Macaca fascicularis: one gene and its partner. The protein of the gene in region 1 binds, or shares a complex with, the protein of each later gene. Links are inferred from orthologs where the notes say so. Each region holds a gene or a part of one and is shown in the gene's direction. Other genes may lie near its edges.

Region 1 (10,307 bases):
CATCTCAATTTCCACCATCTTGAAGGTTATTCTTTAAAACCCAGGGGTCAGCAAACTATGACCCTTTGCTTTGTTTTTGTGAATGAAGTTTTATGGGAACACAGCCATATTCACACCTTTACGTTATTGTCCACAGCTACTTTGTGCTACATACAACAGGAGAGTTACATAGCTACAACAGGGCTCATACGGCCTACAATGCTTGACATATATTCTTTTTGCCCTTTGCAGACAAATTTGCCAACTCTTGCTCTATACACCTTTGGGCCCCTGTTAATATGTTGATTGCCCTGGGAAGAACAACAAGGACTGTTGTGTTTCAGGTTAGCAGACAGCTGGTTGAAGGCAGAACTCTGCGAGTGAAGCAGAAGGAATTGGCATCCTGCAATAGAGTAGAAAGAGGGCAGAGAACATCCTTGAGAAAGGGTTGGGGTGAGAGGACTTTGCAAGTCTCTTAGCCCAACTCCTGACCTGAACTTTTATGAAGCTGGAGAGTGTGTGGAAATAGCTGGGGGAGGGTTTTTCCATTTTCTACCTGTTAATGACTTTCTTCCTCCAAGCTTCAGACCACTTTCTCAACTGGTTAGTTTATAAAATGCCCTGCCTGAGATCAAAGCAAGTCACCCCATCCAATACCTTCAGAGAAAATTCTATTTACTGTTTTTCAGTTAAAATGATAACTTATTACCTACTATGTTTCCAAACACTGGGGCAGATACAGGAAATAAAGCATGGACCTTGACCTCAGAGTGCATAATCTTCTTTAAACTGAAAAGCCATAAACCCTTCAAATGAAGGACTTAAGGCCCCAGCCTTACTCATCTGATACCCTGACACAATGAAGAAGTGACTAGGATTGCAAATAGCTGGTAACTAATTAACACCTGCCATTAAGATTGTGACCATAAAATAATCGGGGGCAGGTTGTGTCTGCTGAAGACCTATGTTCTCACCACTGGAGATTCCACTGAGCAAGGAGTGAACTGAGCTGTTTTTATTACCCATGTTTTGCTAGGAGGCAGTTGCTAACTAGTAGGTAGAAAGAGCAGTTTATTGAGTGCTTTCTATGTTTCTAGTAGCTGTGGTTTACATATGTTATCTCATTGAACTTTTACATTGGCACCATGAAGTAGGCACCACTATCCATTCTACACATAGAAAGTAGATGCTAAAATTGCCATAGCTAGTCAATGGTAGAGGTGGAATTCCTGCCTATCTAATCCCAAAGCCATTGTTGTAGTATATCATTCAGATAAGTTTAAGAAGGCAGGGAAAGATAAAAACACATCTGGCTGGAAGCAAGAGAAGGTGGAGAGAATTAAGCAGCTTCACTATTGCCTGTTTGAAATCCTAATACCTGAGATTTAGTAGAGAGGTGTACCAAAGCAACAGCACTGCCTGTTTCTTTAGAAAATAACAAACTCTTACTTCCTGGCTTCCAAGATTAACAAATATTCAATTTTACCATAATTGCTTCAGAATTTGAGAAAAATTAAACAACACATTTAAGAAATAAAAGTCCCATGTTTTCCACCCTGATACTTAAAGCCAATTATTCTTATGATGTTGCCCAATTTTAAAATTTGATTATTGCCCAATTTTTAAATGGTATGGATTGTAGTTGCTCACTTAAGTCATTGCAGCTGTTGAGCAAATTTGGTTTTTTGTTTTGTTTTGTTTTGTTTCATTTAAAAAGGTAATATTAGTGGCTTGTAGTGGTTAGAGACAGTGGAAGATGGCCTTTTATCAGCTCACCATCAGTGGCTTAGGTAAAACAAAAATCAGCCATAGACCTCTTCTGCCCATCAGAAGCAGGCCCCCAGTTGACATGCCTCCTATTTTACAGCTCAAGAAGCTCTACTGTTAACCTTCTAAAAGTCTTTTGTGACAGGAAATGCTTTTTTGATAGCAGGACTAGCCCACCTGCCCAGTAGTAAGTCTGAGGTAGAGAGATGCAGGCTCTAGACCTTGAAGATTGCTCTAATACCAAAGATTCTCATACCTGGTGCAGGCAAGAATAGGTGGGTGTGTGCATATATTTAGTATTGTGCTGGGGCAGATGGAGCCCACTGTGTACATCTCTTCCCAACGCTGCATTCAGTGACATGATGTTGGTAGCTTGAAATTGACCATGGAAATCAACAAACACTACAAATAAAGGCTTGGTTTTGTTTGTTTGCTTGTTTGTTTTTACTTTTTTTAAAAGAGCCAATTGCTAATTTACCTGTGCATGACTGAATATATTCCATAATTTATCTTTTCTTTCAGTATAAACACATTTTCCCCATTCTTTACTATAACACAAAAAACCTTCAGTGAATATATTCTGTGGAATTTTGTGCACATATGTGTGAGTTCCTTTAGCATATAGACCTAGGAGTGGTGTTTCTATCCTATGAACTGTGCACATTTCAACTTCATTAGATAGCATCAAATTGATGTCCTACTAGATTTCCTATTTTCTTACCTTCTTGTTGACACTTGATATTGTCAGTCTTCTTAATTTATGCCAATCTTAGCTTGAGGTGAGTATTTTACTGCTATTTGAATTTATATATTTTCTGAATACTTATTAGGCTAAAAACCTTTTTACATGTATATCGGCCATCTGGGTTTTTTGTGAATTAGCTACTCATATTGTTTGTTCATTATTTCCTTAGATAATCTCTTTTTCTTGTTATTGATTTGTAGAAATGCTTTACATATCCTGAATACTTATTCAATTATATGCACTATACATATCATCTCTCATCTGTGGCTTATCTTTTAATCATGTTATGTTTTTATCATGAAGAAGTTTAAATTTTGATATAGTCAAATGTATTATTCTTTTCCCCTATAATTTCTATGTTTTTTTCATGTTCAAGCAATCTTTCTTGAACTCAAGGTTAAAAATATGTTCCTATATTTTCTTTTTCAAAGTTTATATTTTCATATTTACATTTTTAATCTATCTAGAATTTGTTTTTGTGAATGGTGTCAGATGAACATTTAATGTTTTTCCTCATATGGAAATGCAATTATTCCAATATTATTATGAAAGAGACCAGGGTTTCCCTCTTGACTGTTTGGTTCCTCTCATACACAAAAGCCCCACATGTGTTTGCATCTATTTGGATATTACCTATTCCAGGCTATAGATTCATTGTCTTTATTTTTGGAACTATTACACTCTAATTACTGTAATTTTACAAAAGTTCTTGATATTCTTTTAGGGCGATTCTTTTCTCTTTATTCATCCTTTTCAGAATTTTCTTATATATTCCTCAAGGTTTACTCTTTCATGTGAACTGAACCATTTGTCAGCTTGACAAATTCCACTGAAAACCCTGTTAGATTTTTTACTAGAATGAAAATGAATTTATAGATTAATATTGAAATAATCTATTAATATTTCATATATATGTATATATAGAGAGAGAGTCAGGATTTTTTATGTCCTTCAATAATTGCTTTATAACATTTCCATAAAATTTGAATTTATATTTTATTTGAATTAAATACTTAATAATAAATTTTTATTTTTGTTTTTATTGTTAAGAGGATCTTCTGTTATATTATATGAATCACTATTGCTGCCCTATAGGAATGTTATTACTTCTTATATGCTCATTTCAGTATTAGTTTTTCAAACTTTTCCCCAGTCTCTGAAGCTTAAGCATTTAAGGTAAACTTAGTGTCTGTCCTCGAAAGAGTCAATGCTGTTATCTTTGACTACCTTTTTTAGCACTACGGTACATATGGAAGGGTCAAAGTTTCTAATACAACCGTCAGGGTAAAGTCTAAAAGGTATTTATGACAAGGTGTCTGCTAAAATCAGCTCACTCGCAGCAATGGCTTGGACTAGATCCACATGCATTCTCTCCTTTACCTTGTTTTTTGCCCACATAGCAGCTGTATCGGTAAGTAGAGTCCTGCTTTTTGGATATTTAGAAATATTAATTCTAGTATACGTTATCCATTTTCTGTATATTTATTTTTTTTTCAGATTAAGTATCTTCCTAAAGAAAATGGTAAGAATTAGTTCAAATGCACAGAGAGTGTTTTTGAACTTTTTTCGTTCAGCAAGGCTAATAATATTTTTTTTCCCTCACTTTTAACAGTACATGATGCAGACTTTGGTGAACAGAAGGATATTTCAGAAATCAATTTAGGTGAGGTCAATTTTTGCATACTAAAGTATTTAAATTACTTAAAACCCAGTGATGGGATTACTGAAAAGCACTTTCCTTCATAATACTGTATTGTGATTCTTTGGGGGAGAAATATTTATTGATGCTTTGTGAGAAATTGCATTTTCTGAAAGATAAAAATGTGGAAAGAGAAGACAATTAGACCAGACATTCTAGGAGAGCTAGGGAGTCCTCAATGGATCTAGATACATAACACGTTTCTCTTTATAAAAAATTTATTTTTGCAATTTGTATTTGGAAGAAAAGGAAAGCAAATAGATAATTATTCTGATAGTTAAAGAAAAATATAAGAATAAGCCTCTGGTTATATTTAGTGGGGAAACAAAACCCAACCCCTCCACTGGCCATGATATTTTTATTTGTCCAGTCTTGTTGTGGAGTAAGTGCTGTTTTCATTTTTTGGGGGGAGGAGCAAGTGGCTTCTCATGGTTAGAGTGACCTGCTCAGGATTATAGGTAGCAGTGACGGGGCTCACTTCCAGATCTTGCAGCCTGTACCTTAATAGCTCAGTGCTATCTGAAGACTACAAAATGAAAATACCTATACCTATGGGTCAATTTTTCTGGCGTTCTCTCACTCACAGAGAAGCCAGTTAGTTGATATTTAATTGGAATAGCTGGAGAATGGCTGCATAGGCAGAGCAGAAATAGTTTAGGAAGGTAAATGGGTGAATGCATGAATGAGTCCCAAGACTTCAGAGCCAGGCACTAAAATATCTCTTTTTAGAGTCAGACACTGTGTAAACAGTTCAGAGAATCTGATGTTATTTTACAACTGGGCTGGGATTTGAATTTTTAGAGTTTTTCTAATCTCATCCTTATCTATCTAATAAAAATTAATTCTTTACCTCTTTGCCATTTTGTACTCTTCAGGCCTACCACCACCTCTGAACTTTGACCCCAGTGAAGAAATCTCATTACCATGTAATCTTTTTTTTAGGCCATTTCAACCAAACCACCAGGATTGATTGGGTTAGCCATATGGCCAGATTCTAACCCTGTAAATTGATGGTGAAAATCATATAGAGAAAATTGCCACCTTTCACCATCTTCTTTTTGCCTCACAAGGCTGACTTAACATTTCTTATCCTCCACCCCAAGACCTGCTCCTCTCAGTCCTTTTCATTTCAGTAAATGTAACTCACTCCTTCTAGATTTTAGGCTCAGAATCTTAGAGTTGCCCCTAACTCTTGTCTTTCTGTCATACCTTATGCAAAATCTGTCAGCAGATGCTATTAGATCTACTTGATCCTCCCTCCCTTCCTTCCTTCCTTCCTTCCTTCCTTCCTTCCTTCCTTCCTTCCTTCCTTCCTTCCTTCCTTCCTTCCTTCCTTCTCTTCTCTTCTCTTCTCTTCTCTTCTCTTCTTTCTTTCTTTTTTCCCAAGATATGGAGTCTTGCTCTGTTACCTAGGCTGGAGTGCAGTGGCACAATCTCAGCACACTGCAACCTCCACCTCCCGGGTTCAAGTGATTCTCCCGCCTCAGCCTCCCAAGCAGCTGGAATTACAGGTGTCCACCACCATGCAAGGCTAATTGTTGTATTTTTGGTAGAGACAGGGTTTCTATGTTGGTCAGGCTGGTCTTGAACTCATGACCTTGTGATCTGCCCACCTCATCCTCCCAAAGTGCTGGAATTACAGGCATGAGCCACCGTGCCCGGCCTAGATCTACTTTCAAATCATACCACAGTTGAGACTTTTCAGCACTTTTACTGTCCCCACCTTGGTCAGCCACCTCATATCCGAACTGGTCCTTATAACTGTGCTTCCTTTCTGCCTTTGGTCCCTACAGACTATTCTGCACAACATAGAACTCTTCCTTTATTATCCTTCAGATCATGTCATTTCTCTGCTCCAACCTTCTAATGACTTCTCCTCCAACACAAAGTAAAGGCCTTAGAGCCTTGATTCCCAAAGTGTGTTCCACAGGCCAAAATGACTTGTGTCACTCAAGAGCTTTCTCTTGGAAAGGCCGCATTTGAGGATCCACCCCAGACCTACCGAATTAGCATCTCCAATTTGACAGACCCAAGCGGTTTCTATGCACATTAGAGTGTGAGTCGATCTGCTGAAACAGGATTTGTGACTACTCTTCCTCTTCCCACTTGAGCTCTCCAGCCACCCTGACTGCACAGCTACTCCTCTAAGGAAGTGATTTTCAATGTGTTGTCCCTCAGCCAGCAGCATCAGTAAACTTCTCAGGAATGAACATCCTTAGGCCTCGCCCCAGACTTAATGAACCAGAAATCCAAGGGTGGGGGCTCATCAGCCTGTGTTGACCAAGCCTTCCAGGGGACTCTGATGCTCAAGTTTAGGACCACTGACCTAAGACATCAAGGCTTTCCTGCCACAGGACCTTTCTATCTGGTGTTGCCTTTACCTCCACCACATTTCCTTCATTCCCTTACTCTATCATATTTCTGCTAAAATGCCACTTCCTCTGGGGGGCCCTCCCTGACCACTCTTTAATAAAATAGCTAACCTATCTCACCTCAGCACTCTTTCCCACCTTACCTTTTGTTTGTTTCTTTTTTATTGTACTTTCCACCATTTGTCATACTTTACAGTTATTTGTTTATTTGTATGTCTCCCTCTTCCCCCAATCAAGAGTGTCATCTCCTTAAGGACTTTGTTTTATTCTCTGCTATGTCCCAGCATCTAGAAAAATGCTTCAGACACATTAGGCATTTAATAAGTGCGCACCACATGAACAAATTGGGTAATGAATAGATTGAGGCTTGCTTTCACTGGATGTGCACTTCTTTGGGAAGTTCTCCCTGCCCCCCATGACCCCATCCATTCTGTCTGACCACTGGGGCCAAAGTCTGAGTGGGCTCGTTCACTTCACTTTGGAAGAGCTCCCTCAATTCCATTATAATCCAGGCCAGGTGTCAGGAAATACAGATTTTTGCTCAGGACAAACAAATAGTAGAACTATTCTCAATGAAAGAATAGATGGACCAGAACAAAGTCCCTTTATTTAAAAGATTATTCAAATCTGGGTCCTACTGACAGTGGTACGGTGATGTCATTACTGTTTGTGGTTGTTTAATTGCACTGCTAGCATAGGAATAGGTCAGGGCTAAGGAGGTTAAGCAATCTAGCAAATGTGTGCATGAGGAAGGGAATGATGCAGGGATAGCCCTAGTTAGTCACTGGCAAGTGAAATCATGATGCCTGCTAATACGTAACACCTCCTTGGTGTCCTATGCCTAAATGGAGCTGGTTCCTGAATGAACCATGGGCTTTGCCAAATGGGGCCTCTGTTGGCTCATGAGACTGTGGTAATTAATCTCTGCTTTGGTTTCCCGGCCTGTAAATCAGGGCTGTCCTCAGAATGAAGTACAATCCAGTGATTCTGTCTGAAGTCGTTGCATTTTACAGAAAATGTTGCTTGTCACATGAGAGTTATGATAAGTGATGCTCTTTTAATGCTTGAGAAATTTTCCCACAAAGATCTTCCCTTTTAAGAATCTTGCTTACTGAAACAGGATGAGGCCAGGATTAAGCAATACCAGCAGTGGGAGAATGTATTCTGCTAAGCACCTGAGAACAGATGTTTGGAGGTATGGTTTTGAATGGATCTGTCCACAATCCTCTGGTCTTCCTTATGACGTGGGCAGCACCTTGAGCTTGGTTTTGGAGGGTATCATCGTGTTTTCATGGGGAAGAGCAGAATACATTCATCTACACTGGGACAAGAGGCAGAATGGTACGGGGGCAGAAAGAGCCCTGAATGGGAAGGCCGGAGTTTTGATGCTCTCTTGGCCCCTGGATTACGTAGTACATCACTTCATGTCGCTGGACTCTATTTTTTTCTCCATGTCTCTCAATATTTTTCTTTTCTTTTTTGGGATGGAGTCTGGCTCTGTCATCCAGGCTGGAGTGCAGTGGCGCGATCATGGCTCACTGCAACCTCCACCTCCTAGGTTTGAGCAATTCTCCTGCCTTAGCGTCCTCAGTAGCTGGGACTACAGGTGTGCACCACCAAGCTCAGCTAATTTTTGTACTTTTAGTAGAGAAGGGGTTTCACCACATTGGCCAGGCTGGTCTCAAACTCCGGACTTCGGGTGATCCGCCCACCTTGGCCTCCCAAAGTGCTGGGATTACAGGCGTGAGCCACCACCCCCAGCCATTCTCTCAATATTTTTCATCCTCCTTATCAGTGCTGCCTCAAATCCCTTTTTTATAGTCAGTGATCAATAAAATCCCTTCTAACTTATCTCTTACTTTTAAGATTCTTAGACAAGATTTATTGTTTCAAAATTGAAAACAGAGGCTATGACAATATGTGATACTCATTGGCCATTCACATTTGCTCAACTGGAATTTTTGCATTGTTTCAAAAAGTTTTGCCACGTAAAGACTAATATTCAAAGATTTATAATGGCAAAGATTAATTTTATTATGGAAGATGCCTTTTAATAATGTTCACTCAAATATTCTTTTTTTAAAAAAAATTCCATTTCCAGCTGCAGGCTTGGACCTCTTTCAAGGGGACATCCTCTTGCAGGTGAGTACCTGTCAAAGATGCAGTAAGTTCCTCAGGACAGACAGTACCATTGGGTGTCAGTCTCTGCTCTGTCGCCAGCCCTGGGATGGGCACTGTGAAGGAGATAACAGAAATCTCATCTATAATCTGTTCCAGTGAGGAGTTCCACTATAGCCGGTAAGGACGAAAACAGAGGGAAAATAAGTAAACAGCACAAAAGAGTCTAAAATAATTAGATGGCTTATCTATCCAATTTTCCTGGGATTGCAGGCCCCCTTTATTTTGTTCTTAATAATTTCTCTGATTTTTCCAAATTATCTCTCAAGGGACTTCTATTGCTTTCATAATCGGAAGAGAAATTGCCACTAAACCGTTTGAATTGTGTGATAGACTGTTTGCTGTGTGAGAGTTTATTGAAGGAGGAGGTCAAGGTGACCTTGAGGACTAGGCTTCCCACTCACCTTTACCTTTGTTTTCACAGAACTCCAGAAATGGCCTGAGAGACCCAAACACCAGGTGGAAGTTCCCCATTCCTTACATCTTGGCTGATAATTTGGGTAATATTAATTGCTCTTAATTAGGAGTTTTCAGTTTAACTCTCTCTCCCCTCTCAGCCTGATCATGGGCTTCATATTGGGAGTAACCACCAGGGTCTAAGAGGGTTTCCAAGTCCTGGTGAATCTTTATCTCATGGGGAGAAAGGCATGACATTACATCAAAACCAGTGCTGCTTAACCAGTCTGAGATACACAGTATCCAAGAATAACTTTTAAAATGCAACACACATTAAACTATTAGTATAACCAGGAGCAACGTAAAAGAGCAAAAACCCAATGAAATATAGTTTGCATCAGAGCAAGGCAAAGTTTGCACTTTGTTTAGGTGAATCTAAATGTAGTGTGAGGATCCTATTTTCAGCATATGGATTTCTTCTCTTTTTGTTACAAGAGAAACATGCCACACTTTGAGAAATAGAAAAGTGCATGTTTCACATGTTCACAATCCTTTTTTCTTGGTGTTATTAATGTCTACTCTTTTCTCTCTTGAGAAAAAGATCTGAATATGTTACATTTTACTCATTGTTAGAAATAATGACTAGGAGAATCACTTCTCTGCCTTTCAGCTAAGATTGTGTATAGAACTAACAGCCGGTAGAAATAAATATTAGAAGCCCCATGTAGGCACCCTCAAGCAGTTGACTGACAGCTGAGCAGCCATGATGACTCAATGCCTACAAGGCCCCACCTGCTTAGACAGATGGGCAAGATTAGAATGAAGAGGGAAAGCCAGGACAAGGTTGCTTCATCTTGTTGGGCTGCTAGGCTGCTTATAGTCTCAGGAGATGTAGATTATGTTTCAGTATTTTCCATCCTCTTTATCAGCGCTGCCTCGAATCCCTTTTTATGGAGAACAGCTAGATATAAACAAATGTTGTTGTTCTCACTAACACTTGGAAAATTGAGTTATTTTCTCCAGTGTTTGCCTTGCAAATTCATGGAACACCAATAGTTAATGGAACATGATTTAAGAAACACCAACTTTAAAAGGGGTTCTTTCCCATTACAGGTTCTTTTATCCTGGTTGTCACATCTCCACCACCCTATTATGTGCCAGGCACTGTGCC
Region 2 (10,353 bases), on another chromosome or scaffold:
CTCGCCTTCCCTGACCACTTCACCCTTCCCAGCATCCCTCCCACCTACACCAGCGTCACCCTTTCCTCTGACCACACTCTCAGATGACACCCATGCTAAAAGATCACTATCCTCTGATTCTATGTTCCTCTCAAGCCATTTCCCTATTTCCCCTTTTGTTTTACTACCAAGCCTCCTTTTAAAAAACATTTATTTCTAAAAATTTCTAAATGCTACATATTTACTTAAAAAATGATGGAAAACTCCGAGAAGTTGAAGGAATGAAAATAAATGCCTCGCACAATCCCATGTCTCAAATGCAAACACCATTAACATTTTCCTGCATTGCATTACCTTCCTTCTGCCTCCCACCTGCACCGCTGAACAGGGCTGCTTTAAAAAACACAGCGCTGTGTCACGGCAGTGTAGTTTCAATTGTCTGTCTGCTTTGCAACTTAACATTATAACATAAACATTTTCTGTATCACTAAACATCATGGCGTCATTTGTGATGGCTAATTGGTATCCATCAAATGTAGACAAATTCAAGCTGGTACCACTTTCTGCACCACAGCCAGTAAGTCAAGAGACAAGGCACTGGGGCAAGGAAAACAACTTTATTCTTAGAGCAATATTTATTCTTTCTTTATTCTTCTCAGCAAACTGAGAAGATGGGCAGACTCACGTCTTAAAAAGCCATCTTAAGTTAATATGCATTTCAAGCTCCTTTTATGTTAGGGTAAGGGAGAAAAGAGAGGCAGTTGAGGTAAAGAAATAACCAATGACCACAGGCACCTGGGCGGCAGCAAGGGTCTGAGGAGGTGAAACTTCTTTGTCCTTGACCAGGTCACAATGCTCTTATAAATCTTTAATGCAACATTGTTACTTGTGTGTACACCCTTCTTTTCTCCTTGGGAGTTAGTTTTGGGAGGAGACTATTATCATCCTTGCTTTAAACTTCAGGCTGGGCATGGTGGCTCAGGCCTGTAATCCCAGCACTTTGGGAAGCTGAGGCAGGTGGATCACCTGAGGCCAGGAGTTCGAGACCAGCCTGGCCAACATGGTGAAACCCCCCCGTCTCTACTGAAAACTCAAAAATTAGCTGGGGGTGGTGGCAGGTGCCTGTAATCCCAGTTACTTGGAAGGCTGAGGCAGGAAAATAACTTGAACCCGGGAGGCGGAGGTTGCAGTGAACCGAGATCACACCACTGCACTCCAGCCAGGGCGACAAGAGCAAAATTCAGTTTCAAAAAAAAAAAAAAAAACAGTTAAACTGCAAACTAAATGCCTCCCATAGTTAGGTTGGCCTATGTGCAAAGATAAGCAAAAGTAATTAACCTAAAAGATACCATTTTGGGGGTAGTTGCAGGGAGATTGGGAGAAAAATGGAGTTAGTCATGTTAAGCCCCCTTTTCACTGTTACATAAATGGAAGTTTACTTAACCATTCTCCTGTTGTTGGACATTTAGATGGACACTTTTTAATGGTTGTAAATGGCATATCAATAAATATTATTATGCATAAAAGCTTTCCTATATGTGTGAATACTTTCAAAGGTAGAGTCTCAAAAATAGAACTAATACTCCAAAATAATGTGAATATCTTGCAACTCTTGACATGTATTGTCGAAGTGCTTTACAAACAGATTTTGCAAATCTACACTTCCAAAATCCGAGTATGCCCATCTCACTGAACCTTTGCTATCACTTGGCCTTATCATTTCTCTCTCCCAAAAATACTGACTTATAACTGTCTTAGTTATTAAGAGATAACTTATTATCTCTTCATCACATCTCAATACATTATATTCACACAGTGTAGTAAGATTATTCTGGAAAACATCATTGTTGACCTTCTTATTGTCAAAACCATTGACCCAGTGGTTTGTTTTTCCTTCTTATGCTATTTGGTCTCTCTGCAGCGTTTGACGTTATTGCCTGCCTCCTACTTGGAGCTCTTTCTGCCTCCATCTCCTCCAGTTGCTTCTAAAATGTTGGGGTTCCTGAGATTTTCACCTTTATTTTTCTCACTTTATATGCTCCCATTGGTAATCTTATCCACTCTTGTAAATTCAGTTTATTCTATCTAGATTCTATCCCAAAAAAATATATTTTTTATTTTATTTTTTGAGAGTCTCACTCTGTCGCCCAGGTTGGAGTGCAATGGCGCGATCTCGGCTCACTGCAACCTCCACCTCCTGGGTTCAAATGATTCTCCTGCCTCAGCCTCCCTAGTGGCTGGACTTACAGGCATGCACCACCACGCCCAGCTAGTTTTTTGTATTTTAGTAGAAATGGGGTTTCACCATGTTGCCCAGGCTGGTCTTGAACTCCTGAGCTCAGTCAATCCACCCACCTCAGCCTCCCAAAGTGCTAGGATTACAGGCGTGAGCCACTGCGCCCGGCTTATTTTTTATTTTGAGGCAGAGTCTCACTCTGTCGCCCAGGCTGGAGTGCAGTGGTGTCATCTTAGCTCACTGCAACCTCTGTCTCCTGGGTTCAAGCGATTCTTCTATCTCAGCCTCCCAAGTAACTGGGATTACAGGTGTGCACCAGCACGTCCAGCTAATTTTTGTGGGTTGTTTTTTTTTTTTTTTTTTGTATTTTTATTAGAGATGGGGTTTAGCCATTTTGGCCAGGCTAGTCTTCAACTTCTGATCTCAAATGATCTGCCTGCCTTGGCCTCCGAAAATGCTGGGATTACAGGCGTGAGCCACTGTGCCTGGCCTTCTATTTATTCTTTTAAAGGTCTTTCCTCAACCTTGTATTCTTCTTTTTAATGTTTGCTTTCCTTCCATTTATAAAGAAGCTTTTATAAGCAATGGTCTATACTTGCTTGTCTCCACTTCCTGAACTCCTATTCGTTTTTTTGTTTTTTTGTTTTTTTCCACAGTAATCTGGCTTCTATTGCCACCCCTCCTCTGAAACTACTACCAACAAAGATCACGGGGGAACTTCTGGATCAAATGGATACACGTTTAGCCCTTTATATTCAAGCTCTCCGTGGCATCTGACCCTCTGACCATGCCTTTCGTTTTTGAATGCAGTCCTTCCTGGCCTATGGAGCCTGTCTTTCTCCTCTGCAGCCTTTCAATCTCAGACCCTTTTTCTTTTAGCTCATCTTCCTCTGCTTCCTCCTTAAATATTAGTTTTCTCAGAGCTCCACCTCATTCTCATCTCATTGCCTTACCTGCTCTCCCAGAATGAGCTCACCCACTCCCAAGATTTTAGCCTCCACCTCTGGCTAATGATGATCTTGCTTATCCCCTTTAAGCCTTGAGTCCGTACATCCAACACATATTATGAGACTCCACTTAGAGATCGCTCAGATTCTTCAAATTTAACAGCCTCAAACTCAGGTCCCCATCCCCTCCCCCTTCCAAATCTGCTCTATTCCTGTAATGGTAGCTCAACTCTTTGACTCGGTCAAATAACCTGAAAACTCTGGAGTCATTCTTGATCCCTCACCCTTTCTTGCTGCCATATTTTGTGAGTCACCAGGTCTTGATTTCCTAAATCCTCATCATATCTCAGATCCAGTCCTTCCTCTCTGTTCCCACTGTCACTTCCACCTCTTCAGCAGTGTCTCCTCACAGGCTTTTCTCATTCACAACTGTATCACTCAGGGTTCAACCAGGTTTAGCATAACCAGGGAGGTATTGTAGGGAACTGGATTATGCAATTGTGGGGGCTGGATAAAGAGTCCCTGTAAGGCTGTCTCTGTATCTGATGCTGGAGCCTGAAGTCCACAGGGCAGGTGTTCAGAAAGAGAAGATGGATATGAAGTAGGGGGAATTGACAGCAGATTGGAACCCGCAAGCATGAGCTGAGACCCTACAAGGATGGACCCTCACCCACGTCTGTTTTGGTTGCCTATGGCCTTGCTGGTAAGGGTATCCTGGAGAAGCTGGGGTCCTTTCATTGCTGCTACTTGGAATAATCTTTCTGAGAATCTAGTTCTTAAAAACTGCAGTGATTCCCCAGTACTTTTAGTATGCTATTCTAATCACTACAGCACCGAAGACTCTCAGGCTTTTGCCTGACTACTACTCCGGCCTTATATCTTGTCATTACCTCACCATGCCTCTTCTCACCTCTTCCCTTCCACTTTCTAGTTTTTTCTCTCTCTCTCTCTCACACACACATACACACACACACACACACACACACACACACACACACACAAGCACACACATATAATCTCAATTACAGTAGAAAAAAATTTACCCATAATATTTGGGGCCTGGTTTACTTAAAATTAATGAGAAAAGAGCACTTGAGCAATTTTGTTGTTACCTCCTAAAGCACATAGACAGCAAGAATTGTCACAAATTTTACACTACAAGCCAGATATCTCAAATGTCACATGAGATTTCATTTCAAAGAGTGTTACCCTGTTCTCATCAGAGAGGCTGTCCTCCCTGTCATCACTGATAGGTCCTTGGCAGCCCTGTGATATCTGTTATCTCACACTCAAGCAAATGATTCTTCAATTGTTACAATGCAGAGGATTGAAAAATAGGCACTTATTTATTTATTTATTATCTTTTTGAGACAAGGTATCACTCTGTCACCAGGCTGGAGTGCAGTGGCACAATCATGGCCCACTTCAGCCTTGACATCCTGGGCTCAAGTGATACTTCTGCCTAAACCTCCTGAGTAGCTAGGTCTACAGGTGCATGCCATCATGCCTGGCCAATTTTTAATTTTTTTTTTTAAGAGATGAGGTCTTGCTATTTTGCCCAGGTTGAACTCAAACTCCTGGGTTCGAACAATCCTCCCAACTCAGCACCACAAAGTGCTGGGAATACAAGCATGAGCCACTGTGCCCAGCTAGCTTTTTAAATTTTTATCCCCAACATCTAGCACAGTGCCTATCACAGAGCAGTTACTTCACTCACTGGAGAAGAACTTACGACATTACTTGAATGAAGGAACTTTTTTCTTACCCCCTAAACTCCTGATCCACCGGTCCATGGAGAAGCCCAGAAAGTCAAGCTTCACAGCCTCTCTCTGCACTTTTTTTTTTTTTTTTAAACAGACACTCACTCTGTCGCCCAGGCTGGAGGGCAGTGGCACCATCTCGGCTCCCTGCAATCTCTGCCTCCTGGGTTCAAGTGATTCTCCTGCCTTAGCCTACTGAGTAGCTGGGACTACAGGCATGCGCCACCACACACGGCTAATTTTTGTATTTTTAGTAGGGACGTAGTTTCACCATATTGGCCAGACTGGTCTCAAACTCCGCCCACCTCAGTCTCCCAAAGTGCTGGGATTACAGGCGTGAGCCACCTCTCCTGGCCTTTCTACCCTTTCAAGATAAGTTTTTGTTTACTGTGCTTGGAACATTCAAATGAAGATCATTTCCTAATGCTTTATCCACTGCCGGTGTGAATGCTATTGTTATAGTATTTCTGGAGAGCAATATGGCAAATTATTACAATTATTAATTAATTTTTTTTTTGAGACACAGTCTTGCTCCATCACCCAGGCTGGAGTGCAGTGGCGCAATGATAGCTCACTAAGTGCTCAAACTCCTGTTCTCAAGTGATCCTACCGCCGCAGCCTCTGAGTAGCTGGGACCAGAGATACATGCCTTCAAGCCCAGCTCATTTTTAAAACGTTATTTATAGAAATGAGGTCTTGCTGTGGTGCCCAGGCTGGTCTTAAACTCCTGGCCTTAAGTGATCCACCCACTTTGGGCTCCCAAAGCACTAGCATGAACCATTGTGCCAGGCCTAAGATGGCAAATTATATCAGAAGTTTTAACAGTAAGAATTGCCCTTGACCCAGTAATTCAATTTTTAGGCATTTGTACTAAGCAAATAATTAGGGATATGAACAAAGATCTACCCACAAGAATGTTAATTGCAACATTGTTTGTAATAGCAGAGAATTGGAAACAATCGACCTGTCTATCAAAGACAGTTGGCTTGAAGAACTGACTCACCTGTCAACAGACTATTGTGTAATAATTAAAAATTAAATTGCAGAAGTGGATTATTTCATATGTCAAGATGCTCAGGATCTATTGTTGTATTTTATTTATTTATTTATTTTTTTGAGACGGAGTCTCACTCTGCAGCCCAGGCTGGAGTGCAGTGGCGCTATTCTTAGCTCACTGCAAACTCCGCCTCCTGGGTTCACGCCATTCTCCTGCCTCAGCCTCCCAAGTAGCTGGAACTACAGGCGCCCACCACCACACCTGGCTAATTTTTTTGTAATTTTAATATAGACGGAGTTTCACCATATTAGCCAGGATGGTCTCGATCTCCTGACCTTGTGATCTGCCCACCTCAGCCTCCCAAAGTGCTGGGATTACAGGCGTGAGCCACCGCGCGTGGCTATTGTTGGATTTTAAAAGCAAGTTACCATATAGTAAGTGTACTAATACAGTATTTTTGTATAAAAATGCATGTGATATATGCATAGAGGAAAGTCTGGAAGGACATCCGTCAGCTATTAACAGTGTGGTCAAATATTTTTGTCTTTTTATTTGCTTTTTATTTTTCTATAAGGTGCATATCACTTTGGTAATATTCTTCTAATGAGAAAAAAAGTTTAAATAACTTGTAGTGAATTCTCTAAGCCCTCCACCCAGCTCCATTCATAGTCATAAATACTTTTGGAGCAAAAGAAAGAAGAAAACAATGACCAATTACTAAGATTTACTGTTGGCTGGGCGTATATCACATACATGATCTCATTTAGTCTCGTAAATATGCATGTTGTCGCCATTTTTACTGATGAGAAAACTGAGTGTCAGATAAAATAAATGGTAGCTGTGCCTGAAGTCACACAGCTAGTAACAGATCTCATCTAGCAGGTCTACCCAACTACAAGCTCCAGCCCTTTCCACCACAGCACACAGCGGAGGGCTCTCCTGAGAGCACCTACCTTTGAGACCATGGTCAGCACTGAGAAAGGTGAAAATAAATCAGTTCCCAGGGTCATTGTCCTCTGATGTAAGCCCACCAGAGGCCAGGGACCTTTGCATTAGCAGAAGCTAGGTCAAAGCTGCGGGGGTGTATATTGGCTTGTAGTTAATGGATAACAATATATTTGTCTGAGTATTGACCCATGATGAACAAGAATAACCAATATCATGCACTCACTGTAAACACCTGGCCAGAGAGTCTTGGGCTCAACTCCTGGCTGGATGTGTGGTCTTAGGCAGGTAATTCATTTTCTCCAGATTTTGGTTACATCATTTCAAGAAAGTAGGATATGGTCTACTGACTCTCTAAGGACCCTTCAACCTCTAACACTTTATGATTCTTTGATGAGTTGCAGATATACACTTTTCTCTTTATCCCTAAATATCTCAGGGTCTAACTTTCTCTTACATAATCACTGCATAGTTATCAAACTCACAGAATTTAACATGTATACATTATTACATAATTTCCATTGCATTTACAAAATCTGCCAACTGTCCCAATGGTGTTCTTTAGAGGAATTTTTCCTTCTTATCTCAAGATCCAATCCAGGATCAAACTGATCGCATGTTGCATTTAGTTACGTAGTCTCTTTAGTCTCCTTTAATCTAGAACATTTCTTGAGGCTTTCTCTCTCATGAATTGACATTTTGGAAGAGTACAAGCTAGTTGTCTTGCAGAATGCCCTTCGACTGGGTCTGTCTCATCTTTCCTCATGATGAGTGTAGGTTACCTGTCCCCTCTGGAATACCATAAAAGTGATGTTGTGTCCTTCTCAGTGCATCGCATCAGGAAACACATGGTATCTGTCTGGCTTGTTACTGGTGATGTTGATTTTGATTATTTGGTTAAAGTGATGTCTTCCAGGTTCCTTTGGTATATAATTATAATTTCTCCCTTTACAGTTATTAAGTAATCTGTGGGGAGGTACTCAGAGACTATGTAGATAACCTCTCCCATTTCAAATTTTTACTCCGTAGTTTTAACATACATTGATGATTCTTGCCTGAATTTGTTATTACAATGATGATTGCAAAATAATGGTGATTTTCTAACTGTAATCTCTTCTATATTTTGCAATTGGCATTTTATCATAAGCAAACAGTTTATCTTTTTTTTTTTTTTTTTGAGATGGAGTCTTGCTCTGTTGCCCAGGCTGGAGTGCAGTGGCATGATCTTGACTCACTGCAACCTCTGCCTCCTGGGTTTAAGCAATTCTCCTGCCTCAGCCTCCCAAGTAGCTGGGATTACAGGCGCCCACGGCCAGGTCCGGCTAATTATTTGTATTTTTAGTAGAGACAGAGTTTCACCATGTTAGCCAGGATGGTCTCAATCTCTTGACCTTGTGATCCGCCTGCCTCGGCCTCCCAAAGTGCTGGGATTACAGGCGTGAGCCACCGCGCCCGGGCCGTTTTCCTTCTTTCTTATTCTGTTGGTATCGGTATGGACCCATAGTTTGCTATTTTGTTCAGTGGATTGTAATTCACTACTATCATTATTTGTTATGATGCTCCGATTGTCCTAGATTTCACAATGGATTCTCTTCAAGTGGTTTCTTTTTACATGGACTTATCATTCTTTGAGTCCTTCCTCACCTTCTGCACAGGATCAACTTATACTCTCCCTTTTCCTGGAATCAGTCATTTCTTCAAGGAGATTTGGTTGCTTTTCATGGGGAATCAGATTTAGAAACCAAGTTCTGATAGTAAGTGGGCTTATTGGTACTGGAATATTCTCGCTTCTAGGCCTTCTCAGGGGACAAAGTTGGAAAGAACAATAATTTCATATGGGTTCATGTAAAATTATGGTTTCATTCTGCTACCTCTAGCACCAATCCAAGATTCCAGAGTTTCTTGTCTTCTCTCATTGTCACTCTCTCTCACAGTGAGAATCCTGGTTTTCAAACAACAATATTAATTTGCTCAAGATTATGATACACATAAATAGTTTTAGGAATTGCTACACCCATTCCACTGTGGAAAAACAAACCTACTAAGTAGATTCCAAGACTTGTTTCCATTTCTTTTTGTTATTGTTGTTGTTCAGACTGATGATATATACAATTGTCCCTTGGTATCTGTGGGGGATTGGTTCCAGGACCCCAAAGGATAACAAAATCCGGGAATGCTCAAGTCCCTTATATAATATGGCATAGTATTTGCATATAACTTATGACATCCTTCCATACACTTTAAATCATCTCTAGATTACTTGTAATATCCAATACAACGTGAATGCTATATAAGTAGTTGTTACACTATATTGCTTTTTAATTATTTGTATTGTTATATTGTTTTTTGTTTTTTTTAAGTGTTTTCATTGGTTGAATCCAAGGATGTAGAACTTACAAATATGGAGGGCGACCGTAATCAAAGAATTGTGTACAAAAGTTACTTGGATCAGTTTTCTTTTTTCCCCTTTCATTGTGTCTAGTATTCATTTGAAACACATTTAGGCTCATTTGTTTCTGTTTGTCTTTTAGTTTCCATTCCCCTATCTTTGTTCACTGATTTTGTTTTAAATATATAAAATACTAACATGATTCCAAAAGTCAAAATTAAAGAAATACTCTGAGCAGAGTATTGGAAATTTTGAGTAATTGTTTCTTTTACTCATATTTAAAATTCACTTTTAATTATTACTAGATATACCTTCCTTCAATAGGATTTAACGAGATCACCATTGAACATACCTCCTCCTTGTTCCATTCAATTTTGGCTGTCCCCATATACTTATTTTGTTGTTGAGACAGAGTCTCGCTCTATCATCCAGCATAGAGAGGTATGATCTTGGCTCACTGTAACCTCTGCCTCCTGGATTTAAGCGGTCCTCTAACCTCAGCCTCCCGAGTAGTTGGGACCACAGGCACAGGCCACCACATCTGGTAATCTTAAAATTGTTGTAGAGATGGGGTCTCCCTATATTTCCCAGGCTGGTCTCAAACTCCTGGGCTCAAGCAATCCTCTTGCCTCGGCCTCCTAATGTGCTGGGATTATAGGTGTGAGCCACTGTGCCCAGCCCCCATATACTTTTGTTTTTTCTTTTTCTTTTTTCATTTATTATACTTTAAGTTCTATGGTATATGTGCACAATATGCAGGTTTGTTACATATTAGAATGGCGATCGTTAAACAGTCAGGAAACCACAGGTGCTGGAGAGGATGTGGAAAAATAGGAACACTTTTACACTGTTGGTGGGACTGTAAACCAGTTCAACCATTGTGGAAGACAGCGTGATGATTCCTCAAGAATCTAGAACTAGAGATACCATTTGACCCAGCCATCCCATTACTGGGTATATACCCAAAAGATTATAAATCATGCTGCCCCCATATACTTTAAAAAAAATTATTGATGTTTTTATTGAGTTTTATTTTTTCAATATTTATTTATTTTGGACATAGGAGGTACCTGTGCAGGTTTTTCACCTAGGTATACTCT

Evidence for each region. The genes of interacting proteins can lie anywhere in the genome.
Region 2: the proteins of MEP1A (region 1) and FETUB are in contact, whole or in part, in a cryo-EM structure (PDB 7UAI), measured with the Homo sapiens proteins. The link is inferred for Macaca fascicularis from reciprocal best matches to the Homo sapiens genes MEP1A and FETUB. Residues at the interface, in NP_005579.2 of Homo sapiens: Asp126, Gly127, Cys128, Trp129, Ser130, Glu131, Val132, Gln145, Gly146, Cys147, Tyr149, Ile152, His155, Glu156, His159, Tyr164, His165, Gln167, Ser168, Leu184, Gly186, Tyr187, His189, Asn190, Asp192, Tyr194, Tyr214, Gln215, Phe217, Ser218; in NP_001362516.1 of Homo sapiens: Phe109, Phe110, Lys144, Lys145, Tyr148, Met149, Thr150, Cys151, Pro152, Asp153, Cys154, Pro155, Ser156, Ser157, Ile158, Ser196, Ser197, Gln198, Trp199, Val200, Val201, Gly202, Tyr205, Phe206, Thr242, His245, Trp246, Phe249, Val250, Ser251.

Annotation. Positions count from the first base shown.
Region 1 is NC_088378.1:124,791,014-124,801,320, reverse strand, and holds the start of MEP1A (meprin A subunit alpha), read left to right. Parts: upstream 1-3,823; 5' UTR 3,824-3,833; coding exon 3,834-3,902; intron 3,903-3,988; coding exon 3,989-4,013; intron 4,014-4,103; coding exon 4,104-4,154; intron 4,155-8,663; coding exon 8,664-8,704; intron 8,705-9,164; coding exon 9,165-9,240; intron 9,241-10,307.
Region 2 is NC_088376.1:98,580,929-98,591,281, forward strand, and holds the start of FETUB (fetuin-B), read left to right. Parts: upstream 1-3,702; 5' UTR 3,703-3,865; intron 3,866-4,927; exon of another isoform or gene 4,928-5,136; intron 5,137-7,105; exon of another isoform or gene 7,106-7,152; intron 7,153-10,353. UniProt on the Homo sapiens protein: Protease inhibitor required for egg fertilization.